Sus scrofa: one gene and its partner. Each later gene encodes a partner of the first gene's protein in a complex. Links are inferred from orthologs where the notes say so. Each region holds a gene or a part of one and is shown on either strand. Other genes may lie near its edges.

Region 1 (7,170 bases):
TACATGTAACTGAATTACTGTACTATACACCTGAAACTAACACACTGTAAATCAACTCTACTTCAATACAGTTGGTGGGGGAAAAAAAGCACTGAGCCTTATTTTCAATTATACTTCAAAAAAAAGGCACTATCATCAACATAATGGGTTTTAAAAGTTCTAGATTTCATTTGTATTATTAATGCTAAACATCTTTTTTTTCTGGTGGGAGTCCACCTCTCAGTGATTTATAAAAGGTCTCTGTCCTTAAAGACTACTAATCCTTAGGTATGTTGTATTTTTTTTTAATTAGGCAGTAATTTTTTATATTTTAATCCCTTAAAATATAGAGGGTTAAGAACACAATCATGGCACTAGATTAGTGGGTTCAAAACCTGGATGATGGGGAGTTCCTATTGTGACACAGTGGAAATGAATCCAACCAGTATCCATGAGGATGTGGGTTCCATCACTGGCTTTGTGTTGCTGTTGCTGTGGCAGAGGCCAACAGCTGCAGCTCTGATTTGACCCCTAGACTGGGAACTTCCAAATATCATGGGTGTGTGGCCCTAAAAAGCAAATGATGGAGCTCCCATTGTGGCTCAGTGGTAACAAACCCAACCAGTATCCATGAAGATGCAGGTTTGATTCCTGGCCTTACTCAGTGGGTTAAGGATACAGCATTGCCGTGTGGTGTAGGTGGCAGATGCAGCTCGATCCCACATTTCTGTGTCTGTGGCAAAGGCCAGCAGCTGCAGCTCCAATTCAATCCCTAACCTGGGAATTTCCACATGCCACAGTTGTGGCCCTAAAAAGGAGTAACTGCAACAACAGCAAAAGAAAACCCCACAAAAAACATGGATGATGCCCTCTAGCTTAACAAACTTTGGCAGATTAGTTAATCAGTACCTGTTAAATGTATGGGAACAAATTTTTTGTGAGGATCAATTTTTTTGGAGCTCCCATCGTGGCTCAGCAGAAGCTAATCTAGTATCCATGAGAATGCAGGTTCAACCCTGGTGTCTCAGTGGGTTAAGGATCTGGTGTGGTCGTGAGCTGTGGTATATAGGTCACAGACCCGGCTTGGATCCCACATTGCTGTGGATGTATGTGGTGTAGGCCAGCAGCTACAGCTCCAATTCAACCCTTAGCTTGGGAACCTCCATATGCCACCGATGCGGCCCTAAAAAGATAAAAAAAAATTATTTTTAAAATTCATGTAAATTTAGTTCATCTACCCAAAGTGCCTAGAAGAGTGCTCAGCACATACTAAGCTTAATGTAACTGTTACCTGTGGTGATGATCATAGGTGATATATGAAGCCACTGTATTTCTTATTGTTTGGTAATCAAGAATTTGTTTAGAACCACCTCTTTATTTCAAACACTTATAAACCAAAGGTTTCCAACTTCTCGTACAGGTTGAAAAAACTTTGTCTTTTCTTGAGCCACTCCCGCAGCATATGGAGGTTCCCAGGCTAGGGGTCTAATCAGAGCTGTAGCCGCCAGCCTACGCCAGAGCCACAGCAGTGTGGGATTCTGAGCCGCGTCTGCGACCTACACCACAGCTCACGGCAATGCCGGATCCTTAACCCACTGAGCAAGGCCAGGGGTCGAACCCGCAACCTCATGGTTCCTGGTTGGATTTGTTAACCACTGCGCCACAACAGGAACTCCAAAAAACTTTCAATAAAGATCTCTTGGGTACAAAAAATATGGTCCTAGTGGCTCAAAATTAATTATATAACCATTATTCTAAGGTCATACTTACTTGGAGACCTAAAGATTTTTTTTTTAATAGCAAAAACAAAAACACCACCATTTTGAAATTTTTTATTTTGCTTAAATGTACAAATGACATATAACAGTCCACATTCTACGGTTTCCACATTTAACCTGGATGATTTTCATAGGATGTTATTGTTCCTCATAGCTCAGATGCCTGATCTTCTGTGAAAGCCTTCCTTCCTACCCGCCAAATTAATCTTTTTCAGAAGTCTTGCCGTATGTTTTCTTTGTTTGCCTCTCCATGTTGCTGCTTCATTTGAAAGAGTTCATTTTCTAATTGTACAATAGTCCTTTCAATCTCGTAATTCTTACTGACCAGGGATACCCAACTAAAAAAGAAGAAAAGGGGGGAAATTACTTAATCTCTCTTTTAAGATTTTTTTTTGGGGGGGGGGGGTCATGCCCACAGCATGGGGAAGTTCTGGGGCCAGAGACTGAACCCTCCCCACAGATACAGCCTGAGCCACAGTAGTGAAAATGTTGGATCCTTAACCCCCAGTGCCAAAGGAATTCTTTCTTCTTTTTTTTGCCACACAGCATATGGAGTTCCCAGACAAGGGATCAGCTTCGAGCCACAGTTGTGGCTGACGCTGCAGCCAGATCCTTTAACCCACTGTGCTGCGATGGGGATGGAACCTATGTTCAGGTGCTGCAAAGATGCTGCAGGTCCTGTTGCACCACAGCAGGAACTCCAGGAATTCCTCTTAGAAGATTTTTATAGTATATACATTTTCAGCTGGGATCATTAAACTCACTTTTACTTCTAGCTTTACATTTTCAAAAACAATTAAGGGAGAAAGTGAGTAAAGGGTGTACAGGATCTCTTTTATTTCTTAACATTGCATGTGAACTTACACTTATCTCAAAACAAAAAGTTTACAAACTATCAAGAAAGTATCTCCCTCCTGCAAGAATCAAAAAGTAAACTTTTTTCCTTTTAAAAGGAGAATATACATAGAATCCTATTCAGAGCAGAAGTATTGAATGGAAAACAGGGAGCTTAAGACCAGAATCAATTAGAAGTGATTCAGTTTTTGTTTTCCTTCCAAGCCCAGACTTCATGAAGAGGCAGAGGCAATGAAGAGTGCGATTTAGAAAACAGCATTTTTAAGGCACTTTTGGCACCCCATTTGAATACTGTTTTCATTATATTGTTGAATTTTTATTTTATTTTTTTTGTTCTTTTTTTTTTTTTTTTGCTCTTTAGGGCCACACCCTCGGCATATGGAGGCTCCCAAGCTAGGGGTTGAATGAGAGCTACAGCTGCCGGCCTACACCACAGCCACAGCAACATGGGATCCAAACCATGCCTGTGACCTATACCACAGCTCATGGCAACACTGGATCCTTAAGCCACTGATAGAGGCCAGGGGTCAAACCTGTATCCTCATGCATCCTAATCAGGTTTATTAACCACTGAGCCATGAAGGGAAAGGAACTCCAATTACATCGCTGAATCTTGACGTTAAAATGTACTAAGCAATTTAAAAGATGATGGAACTGTAAATACTCACGTTGACTCCATTTCTCTTAATTTAGATCCAGCTGTGAGCTGCATGTTCTTTCGTTGCCAATTTAAATCTTGAATATGTTTCCTGAAAAAAAAAAATGTATTTATATAACCCATCTACATTTTAACATAAGACCAAAATCAGCAGAAAAATCTATAATTAATACATCTTTAATCACTGAGAAGAACAGATACATAAAGTTATGGACTAATTCTAGGAATTAACTTTCTTCTAATTATTTTTCAATTACAAATTTCATAAAACATGCTCACAGTGGAAAATACATACACACACACATGTACAAATTAAAAACTGAAAGTCCCTCCTCCCATGTGTTTCTCCTTCTCCCTGATAACTTCTGTTCAGTTTTTGGTGAGTGTTCCTTCAGATTTTTTCCTGTATGTACATGTACATATAGAGATCAGGGCTTTCATTTTGACATAAATCAGGTTATACACATTATTCTACAACTTTTTCCCCTTCTAAAGGGGACCTTTCAACAACTGCAGACTTGCAGATAGCAAATGACTTGGTAGAGATGCTTTCAGACACCAGGTCTTCTGCTCCTCCATTCAGGTGAGGCAAACTCGACACTAAACACTGGACTAAGAGCGGATCATCAATTGTCTACTCTCATATGACAACAACCCATTGTTCCTTCTTCCCACTCTATTTATTAAGGATTCACCTAACAATTTACCTTAATTTCTGGAGTTCTTTCTGGGCATGTTCAATCATATGAACTAGATTTCTAAGGAAAAGAAAAAGGAAATCAGATTAATGTACATTAAAATCAAATACCACCAGCTAAAACCGAACTATCTAGCTGATACAAGGTCAAGTTTTTCTGCTAAAAATAGTTAATATCTATTGAGCTCTCTGTGCCAAACACCTTGTTAGGCACTCTATAATACTAGTTAATTTAATGCTAAGTGTCAGAGGTGAATTCTACTTTAGATCCAAGCTGTTCACCGATATTCTGATTTTGTGTACTTACATTACTCCTTAAACTGTTATTACTTTTTTTATAAAGAAGATGGAAAATACTCATTTAAACCCCTTTTAATCTTTTTCATGCCAGAGCTCATGGCAACAACGGATCTTTAACTCACTGAGCCAGGCTAAGGATCGAACCTGCATCCTCATGGATACCAGTTGGATTCCTAACCCGCTGAGGCACAACGTGAATTCCTTTTTTATCTACATTTATTGCATTATTCTTCTCTCCTGTCTACTGCTAACTAAGAAGAGACCTGTTGTGGAGGGCTGCAGATTCAGATTCTAGTCCAAGCCTGCTCTAAGTACAGAGGGGAGAAGTTGAGTGATAACAGAATTCCATGAGATTATTATCATTAGAGAAGTGATTCAAGGCAGAGTTCAACTGTCCTCTTTTTCTTAAATAACAACTTCATTGAGATATAATTCGCATACTGTATCAATTTCCTCTTAAGGCAGCAGACAATCACTTTTGGAGTCCATTTCAACCATACTGACTACTATGCTCTTGCTGTAGATCTAGTATTGTTTCCCTGCTTTTGTGACTCAAATTTCCTGCTGTTCTCCTCTCTCTACTGACAAATTTTCTGTAACTAACCCCAATTCTCTAGAGTTGATCTTCAAACAGCTGTGCCTCTCCAGGCTTTCCTTTAGCTCATCCCACTTTCCTTGACTTTGACCATCATTCCATGCCAAGAACAACGAAGCTCAGTGGTCTCTTCCTGACCTCTAACCATTAACAGGGAACTTTCCTTTGCTTTTTTTTGCTTTCCTTTGAATTACCTCTTTCAGAATGCCCAGTTTGTCATCGTCTCCCTTCTTCCAGCCTCCCTCTTAAGTACCCAGGTCCCTCCTCAAGTACTCTGAACCTGAAACTTCCCACATTGTGCCACGGAGTCAGAAGACTTGGGTTCTAGTCCCAGCGCTTCCCTAAATAGGTATGTGTCCTTGAGTCACTTGACATCACTGGGCCCAAATCTGCTTATTTGTAAAACTGGGAGCTGACCTTGAAGGTTTACTCCTCAGTTTCATGTACAGAATTCTCTTATTAATGAATGAAATATACATACATATATATATATTCATATACATACATATGTTAGCAGTCCTGCTAAAAGCTAAAAGCACTGTCTAGCCTATTTGACACCCTCAAATCCTTCCACAAGGAAAGAAAATTTACTTTGTTAAGACATAGTACATTTCTAGAGAAGTATCCACTGGGTTTGGAGGAGAGAAAACATGGTGCACAGGAGAACGGCCAACACTATAAAGTGTTACGTAATTAAATGGAAAACACGTGCATGATTATTTGTAAAGTTACTAAGAACATGAAGAGAGTACCAGAGGTAGAATTTCAATCAAGGAAGACAAGGAAGCAGATCAGAGTCGGGCTCTAAATAAGCTGAATCTGGGTAGAAGAGTTCAAGGTATTCCGGGAGGAGGCAATGCCTGAGTAAAGGCTCAGGAGCAGGGTTTATGATAATTACCAAAGTCAGGACTAGTTTGGCTGGAGTCGAAGTCTACAACCGAAGTATAGCCTTTTGCTTTGAATACCATGTTAAAGAGTCTGGACCTTACCTTGTAGGTAAGGGAAAATTACTAAATGGTTTCTAGGCAAGTTGAAAGCAATGTTCTCTTCAATGTAATATTCCAGGCCCACCCTGAAATCTATGCCCTCCTCCATTCCTGGGATGTGCTCACTCTTTTCTGGAACGCTTGTGCACTGTTGGTGGGAATGTAAATTGGTCCAGCTACTTTGGAAAACAGTATGGAGGTTCCTTAAAAAACTAAAAAAAGTGTGATACAGCAATTCCATTGCTGTGCAATTATCTGGAAAAAATGAAAACTCTAAATTCAAAAAGATGCATGCACCCCAATGTTCATAGCAGCACTATTTACAACAGGCAAGATATAGAAGCAACCCAAATGCCTTTCAGGTGACAGGATTAAGATGTGCTATGCATATACACATACAGTGGAGTATTAGCCAGGAAAAAGAATGAAATACTGCCATAGGCAGTGATGTGGATGGCTCTACAGAATATGAAGGTTAGTGAAATAAGTCAGACAAATACTGCATGAAATCACTTTTATGTGGGATCTAAATGTCCCTTCTTTGGATCTCAGTACTTTATGGACCACAACATGCAATGCAGCAGTTGCCCCCGTATCACCAAAATGAACTAGTGGTTATCTGCCACAGAATATATTGTCTCCTCAACTAGATAAAGCTTCTTGAGGATAAAGAGGACATTTTTCCACTTAGTAAAATACAAGCATTTTTAGGAATGATCTGCTCTTTTATATTTCTTAATCCTTCCAGCCCCATTTCCCCTTTATTCTGCTTGTAATATATTCACAGTAGAAAGTGAATTGTTCTGTAGCTTCTTAAATGCTGGATTTTGCCCACAAATCTCTATATGGCCACAGAAATTTAAACACAATTCTGAAAATTTGGGAAAAGGTTTTTATCATTTTGCAATTTTGCTTTACAGTTTCAGGAATCATACTCTTTAACAGTTTTATGCACACTCATGAGGTTCAACGGCCTTTTCTCCTTAAACTGTTAATAGAGACTTGGGATTTTAGGGCCCAAAGGGGCCATGGAGATCATCTAAGCACTGACTTACAAATAGGAACTGAACCCTAAATAAATAACAAAACCTAAAGCTAATTATATGGAACAGAAATAGGAACTCAGTGGCTTGTTTTGGGATTTTTTTGCTGGTGTTAATTCTCTACTTACAGTCAGGTCTCATTATTTGCAGATTCTGTATCTGTGAATTTTTGCCTATTTATTCAAATTTTTCTGTAACCTAAAATCAACACTTGCAGTGTTTTGTGATCATTCATGCTCAGAGCAGCAAAAAAACTGAGTTGCTGGACATGAACATTTC
Region 2 (7,170 bases), on another chromosome or scaffold:
TTCAAGTCTATGAAAGCTTTTCTTCCTACTTCAGGGTGGTATTACTACTGTCAATGATATTATCTTAGTTAAAAAAGTTTTTCCAAACAGATTTACAGCCAGAGAGAAAAGAAGTATTACCAATAAATGTTCGCAGACAGCGCCTGTCTCCATAAACCTCCCATAGCTGGAGAAAAAAAACAACACATAGAAACGTTAAATTTAATAGACTTTGATAAAATGACAACTTCCAATCAAAAACAACAGTCCTGGGTCATTTATATGTGTGTGCAGGGAATTTAATCAAAGGCACGTCATTAAACATATCCCTTGACACTGCTAGTCTGTGTTGCACTATTTGGACTATACATAAATACATATATACACACACATTTTAAAACTAAACTCTGAAATAAAGAGAACTTGGAGCTTATATAGGTGTTTTTCATTTTCTTTCCTGTATTTGATATATTTTCTATGCTGAAAAATTTCTACTTACATAAAACTAAGAACTACTTTTAAAAGAATAAAATGTTATTAAAATTGTCATGTTTGTAACTTTTTGGTACTGAGAGTTTTTTTTTTTTTAACTTTCCTGAAGTATTAATTATTATAAAAGCTGTTATGAAAATGATGACCTAGACTAAAATGTTCCAGACTCATAATTCTCATCACATCTGAAGTGATTTAATACAATATCTTGCCTGCCTCAAATGCAATCCTTGACAATGTTGCTAGTGTTCTAAAATAGAAAGCATTTCCTGGCCACCCTGTACCAACAGGATCAAGTCTCAGTTCCCACAGCACACCAGGAAAGGACTTCCAGGACTCGATCCCCTGTGAGTGATGGTGGTCAGCCTGTGCCTCTCAGGTTTTAGCATCCAGCAACCACAAAACTGTGGTTTCAGCACACACCATGGGATTCATTCTGTTCACTCCTCTCAGACATACCCTCCTTCCTAGGCCCAGCCCCCTCCCTTTACTTAGTTACCTTCCTATTGAGGTACGCCTCCCCTCTGAAACGAGAACACCTTGCACTTGCCTCTACAACATCGTAATGAAGTGATCACCTTAGTAATTTTTCATCCTCAGCCCCTTGCACATAATAGATAAATGTTTACAGAGGTGAACTAAATTGAATTCTATGCTTTTTTAATTGGTTGGCTAGAAGATCTTAATTTCAGTTAACGTAGTCTGTGTAGAGTGAAAGTTAAAGGAAATAAGAGTTTTAACTCCAAACTCCAAACTGTTGTCCCGTCATTTTAAGCCACTAAGTAGAGGCAAATGTCTAAAGGGTTGTTATCCAAAAAAGCTGCCTTTATATATTGGTATTAACCATGAATTATTTACAAAGAATAAAATTTTCATCAGTCAACCTTTCAAGCTTCCAGAGCATCATAGGGTTGATATTTATTGACCACTATAATGATCTGGACGCGGAACACACAAAAAATATAAAAACTATCCTCCATATTTAAGTTTTTAAAAGGCTTTCCCATATTCAAGTTGACATGTATCGGCAACTGAGCTTTTCCTACCACACAATTTACAGCTGAACATTAGCTAAATGTGGAGCTTCTCAAGGCTATAAAAAGTGGGAGAAGAGGCTGGGAGCAATTCTGCTACTAACATTTAGGAGACAAAGAGTGAATTATATTATCTACTCTTTAAAAATGGGAATTCTATCACAGGTTCTCTCTACCTCTATGGTGCTGAAGAACAAATGAACTCAGTGACATATCCAAAAACCTCTATAAAAATGCATTACTAGTGATTAAATATTTGTGTCTAAAGCTGAAGTGATTGATTATGTTCTAATCGACTATCTAAGCTTACAAAGAGCCTAGCCAGTTGGACCACAAAGCCATATCTGAATCAACATGTTGGAAGCAGTTCATAAATTGCTGCATAGAAAGGGCCTAAGAGAAAATAATTAGCCTCTAATTGCCTAACAAACCCAGATTTATTTATAATTAGCCAAATAGATTTAACCAAAGCACTAGCTTTGTAGCACTCCTACTCTGTTACTGAAAACCCACCTTAATTTTACAGTCCATGGAACAAGACAGCAACAAATGGCCGGAGAGAGGAAACAATCTGACTGCACTGACACCCTGTAAAAGGTATTACAATTATCAATTAGAAGCATTTGAAATATCAGCTAAAATCAAACGAAGGGAAAGGTGGTATATTTTTAAGCCACCTAAATTTACTATTTTTCTTCATTCCAAAAATTATGCCCCAATATAATAATAATAATAACCTTTAGTACTGACTTCCTAACCCAAGGGAATTCTTAGTCCATCATTTTGCTAATGCCCTCACTCCTCTTCCTTCTTTTGCTCAGGCGTTTGCTCAGTCCGTTTGCTCTTTGCTAGGAGCAGGAAGTTACCAGTTATAATAGTGCAGATAACAAAGAATATCAGTATCAAAGTTTTCAAGTATCTTGTCTCTGCATTAGCTTAAACATTACTATAATTTATAAACCAGGGAGCATCTAATCTTCTTTGAAGTGTGGTAATCCCAAGAGCTAAGGCAAAATAATGGAGGCTTTACTGCTAGAACCAGCCCATTACTCACTGATTTGGTGCCCAAGAGGAAGCAGACTATGGTGGGAACTTGGAGGGAAAAGTCTAGGCCACTGTAAGAGGACAGGACACTGAATTATGAATGCTCATGTCATGGCCCATCCAGATGACCTTGAAGACTGAGCACTTATTTGTGACTCATATGTGTGAGTACGTCCAGAGTCTGACTCTGGTTTATTTTCAATTTGACTTCTCTGTTCTATTTGACTTCCTTACATCTTTCCTAGAAATACTGAATGTCCCACATCAATAGCTAAAATTTATGTTGGCTTTACTAATATATATTACAACAAACAAAAACTACTAATATGTTTACCTTGGTGTGTCCAGACCACACATGAATTTGTTTTTTGGGAAGATAACATTTCTCAGGTGGCACAGTTGACCTCAGATTAACACCAACATCCTGAGGTATGTGAAGATAGGATCTGCCTTGATAGTCATACATTTCTTTAACTGAAACAAGAAGGCAAAAAAAAAAAAGCTGTGAACAAATATAATTCCTAGTTATGAAATCTATATTCTTAAAATAATAAGAATTTTATTCATTGGGAATATTAAGGTTTAGGTAATAATATTGATGATGTTAAGACCAAGAGTCAGCTAAAATTTAGCTGCCTGAAATCATCACTGTTGTTTACAATTAGAGGTAGTATTTTGGAATTCCTAAATATCCAGACACTATCAGACCTTTAAACAAGATCTTACTTCCTTTACTCAGTTATACATTTTAGTGGTATATACAAAAGACTCCACTGTTGTATAATTGCAGAGAGGAGAAAAGACAATTCTTGGGCCTTGTGAGTCATTGGCAAAGAATCAGAAGCAAAACAGAATAAGGAGGAAGTTAAAACAAAAAAATATCAAATATCCTTTTCCCTGCTTTCCTCATTTATGCCCTTCCAGGTTCCTTTTCCATTCTGTTTTCTACTTTCAACCCAGATTTTTCAATAAAGTTACCTGTGAGAATTAAATGACATAGTATATATAAAGCATTTAGTAGCATGCTGAACAGAGTAAGTACTCAATAAATGTTGGCTGTTATATTATTATGACTGCAAGCACCACAATACTAAAACTTGAAAAACCAAATATATTTGATAAGTGATATAAACCTATATATTTGAAATGATATAACATTAGAATAATCAATACTATCAGAACTGAGTTATTTTTCATAGTTTGTTAATCACTACATAATTTCCCCAGTATAACTAGATACTAATGAACCAGGTAGATTTTAAAATATTTTAAATTTATCTTGGTGAATATGTATTGCCTTCTAAAATCAAAGTAAGGATAAGAATCTTAATCTCTAGTCTACGTACATGAAACAATGTATTCTTTTAAAGTACAATTTAGTAACACTTATGAACTGTGACAATAACTGGAGAATATCTGGCTTGGGTTAAAAACAAAAGGTTAAAATGACTGGTTATACACCAAAAAGAGTCAACTTTATCTTAGGAAAGAACAGATTGTTAGCCATAATCTTCTTTATCTACTTTCAAAAAAAAATTCATTAGCACTTCAAAAAATCATCTGTGGCTATCTCTGTTTTATTAGAACACAGAAGAGTTTGCTGTAATTTCTTTGGGATGAAAACTGTCCAATATAATTCTTAAAATAATGAATTCTAGTAGCTGATTAGTAAAGGCACTTGATATATGAACAGAGAACAGAGTAATTACCTGAAAGTTTATCATAAAAATGAAGAGGGATAAAAAATACATTACCATGTAAGATAGTCTTTTCCTCCCCAGGTTTCTCTTCTTCCTGTTTGCCTTTTTTCTGCCTCTTTGCTGTGATTTCATCCAATTCTTTTTGTTCTTCCTAAGGAAATTAAGAAATGAACTTTAAAATGGATGTTCTATGGAGTTCCTATTGCAGTACAGTGGGTTAAGTATCTGGTTACAGCAGCTCAGGTTACTATGGAGGCATGCGTTTGATCCTTGGCATTGCTGCAGCTGCAGCATAGTCACAGCTGTGGCTCAGATACAATCCCTGGCCCAGGAATTTCCATATGTTGCAGGTGTGGCCATAAAAAAAATTAAATAAAAAAATAAAATAAAATGGATGTTCTAAAACCCCTCATGGCCAACAACAGTCAAATTCTTTACAGTGAGGTACACTTTTTGGTGAAACAATATCTGCAAGTATGTCTCCCAGGATAACAATCTCAGCTATTCTTTGGCAAATCACAAAATACCATTACACAAACAGTGGGTACTAGTTAATCTTTAAAACTCATTTTATATAAAACTCATCCTTCTGGAGCACTCAAAAAGTGATTTAATATATTATGCTAATTATTCAAGAGAAAAGATGAGGCAATTAAACAATCTAGTACCAGAAAGGACAGTGAATTTTAGTTCACAATGTTGTTCTTCAGTAAACAGCTTTCATGTAGTCATGAGGATATAAGCAAGGGCTACAGATTTGTGGTACAACTTTTATGGGAGGAGCAATGAAAGGAAGGTGTGAAAGTAAATAAATAGCAACATATGTACATTACTGAGATAGATGGATGTGAGATATAAGCCTAAGCTTCATGACTAAACTTCAGGAGGATAGGATTTTCTTAATCTTGTCCACTGCTATATGCCTAAGACCTAAAACAGTGACTGGCTCATAAGAAGCAGTAGGGTTTAGGAGGCGGAGAGAGGCAAGGCAGAATTTTATAGTTTTATTTTATAAACTTCATAATATTATTAAAAATATATATATACTTTGTTAAAATTTTAAAATAAATTAATAAAACTTATCAATTCTAAAATCAAAGAAAGAAAGGCTGATTCTGTAATTACTATCTGAATATCTGGTATCAGAAAAGGAGCTACCATGGCACCTTAACAGCATTATCAAGGTAATTTTTTTATTAAAAATTATTCAATATTATATTCTAATTAAAAAGTATGAAAGAAAATAAAACAGAAAAATATAAACAAAAATTATTCCAAAGAAAAACAAAGGAATCTTACTGTATTTTCTCAATCAACCAAGGCAGAGAAATTCTGATGAATCATTTGGTACTCTAAAGAAACCTCAAGTTTATTAGTATAGATGCCCTTCATAGACCCAGCATACACCTGAATTGGCAATGAAAATCATAAAGCTTACTTCTGAAGGTTTGGCTACATCTTTTTCATCCACATATTTTGCCCATGGTCCCAAGAAACCATCAATATTAGATGCATCATTTTCTTTGAATTTTTTCCTCTTTTCTATTTTCTTCTGACCAGTTTCAAAAACAGTTAAACCTGAATTAAAAAACAAAAAGCAGAGATCACAAATATGGGTATTTTCTAAAGAAATAACAATATATAAAATAAAACCTGTATGAATCCAGATATACTGACTCATGCTATACAAAAAAAGACAACTTTCTGGGCAAAGGAGCTTTCTACTACTACAATATTTTGCAAATCCTAATACATGTGAAGAAAAGACCCAGCTATGTAATCCTGCAGTGGTACACAATATTTTTAATTAATCATAGATCTTTATCAGATTTTAACTACTTTTTGAAACATGGCAATTTAATATTGCTAAATAATGATAAAGTTACCTCTGAGAGCAAGAATAAATTAAGCTTTCTCTTTTAAAAGCTGAATTGGATTAAATTATACTAAGTAATTAGTAACTCTTTCTTTGCTTCACTCGTAATGCAACAATATAAATTATACAAGGTTTCACAAAAATCTGGTGTTTTTTCCAAATTATCTCAATCTAAACTTGACCTCTAATATCATAAATCTTAATAGTAAGAAGAAAAGAGGATGTTTCTGGTCAAGATTCTGATTTGATCAGTAGGAAGTGGCATGCTGTGTGTAGTCATTAAATTGGAAAAAGAAAGGTTTATGGGCATCATAGTCCCAAGGAAACTGTTAACAGACATAAGATGTGGCTTATAGAAGTCTAACAAAGAAAAAAGCTTACCTATATGATTTCAAATCAATTTCCTTTAGGCTGTGTGTTATAACAAAAACTTGTTAAAATCCTATTTTAACAACCTCGCTCAAAAACCAAAGGCAGCTTGATTATGTAGGCTCTAGAACTACTAAGTGCCCTCCTACAAACAGCATATTCTTTTTCTAATGAGAATTTTATGGGTGAGATTCCAACTGGCTGATGAGCTTTGTGACAAGTTAGTATTTAGAGTATGATGCTTTGTCTTATAATAAGTACAAAATGAATACGAGCACAAAGATATGTTTTAACACATAATTCAAACTCAGTCTTCAAAGCAACTCTTCAAAGACATGCACAGTATTTTTTTCTGTTCTATTAAAATGAACTTTGACATTGGCAGTGTTGAGAATGAAAATACTAAAATTAGCTATACATAATTTTAATTTCTTAAATGATTTCTACAAGGTTGGCACTATGCCCCCAACTCATTATCCACCCCACACCAATGCCAAAATAGGTTTGACAATCTCCCTTACAAGGTTGCATACCTAGAAGTGGCAAAAGCAGCTCTAAACTAATAGTTCTATACACTGCTCTAAACTATTATCACCTATTGTCTCAACTGAAAAAAAAAAAAAAATCGAGAGCTAAATTAAATACTAGTTTTTTTCCTACTGTCTAAAGTCAATCT

What was found.
Region 2: BCAS2 (region 1) and CDC40 share a complex: the UniProt entries of both Homo sapiens proteins name them as parts of the postcatalytic spliceosome P complex. The link is inferred for Sus scrofa from reciprocal best matches to the Homo sapiens genes BCAS2 and CDC40.

The regions. Positions count from the first base shown.
Region 1 is NC_010446.5:105,997,784-106,004,953, reverse strand, and holds the end of BCAS2 (pre-mRNA-splicing factor SPF27), read right to left. Parts: intron 4,029-7,170; coding exon 3,978-4,028; intron 3,362-3,977; coding exon 3,281-3,361; intron 2,096-3,280; coding exon 1,969-2,095; 3' UTR 1,794-1,968; downstream 1-1,793. UniProt on the Homo sapiens protein: Required for pre-mRNA splicing as component of the activated spliceosome. Component of the PRP19-CDC5L complex that forms an integral part of the spliceosome and is required for activating pre-mRNA splicing.
Region 2 is NC_010443.5:76,212,379-76,219,548, reverse strand, and holds part of CDC40 (pre-mRNA-processing factor 17), read right to left. Parts: intron 5,828-7,170; coding exon 5,688-5,827; intron 4,401-5,687; coding exon 4,304-4,400; intron 3,024-4,303; coding exon 2,884-3,023; intron 2,094-2,883; coding exon 2,019-2,093; intron 167-2,018; coding exon 121-166; intron 1-120. UniProt on the Homo sapiens protein: Required for pre-mRNA splicing as component of the activated spliceosome. Plays an important role in embryonic brain development; this function does not require proline isomerization.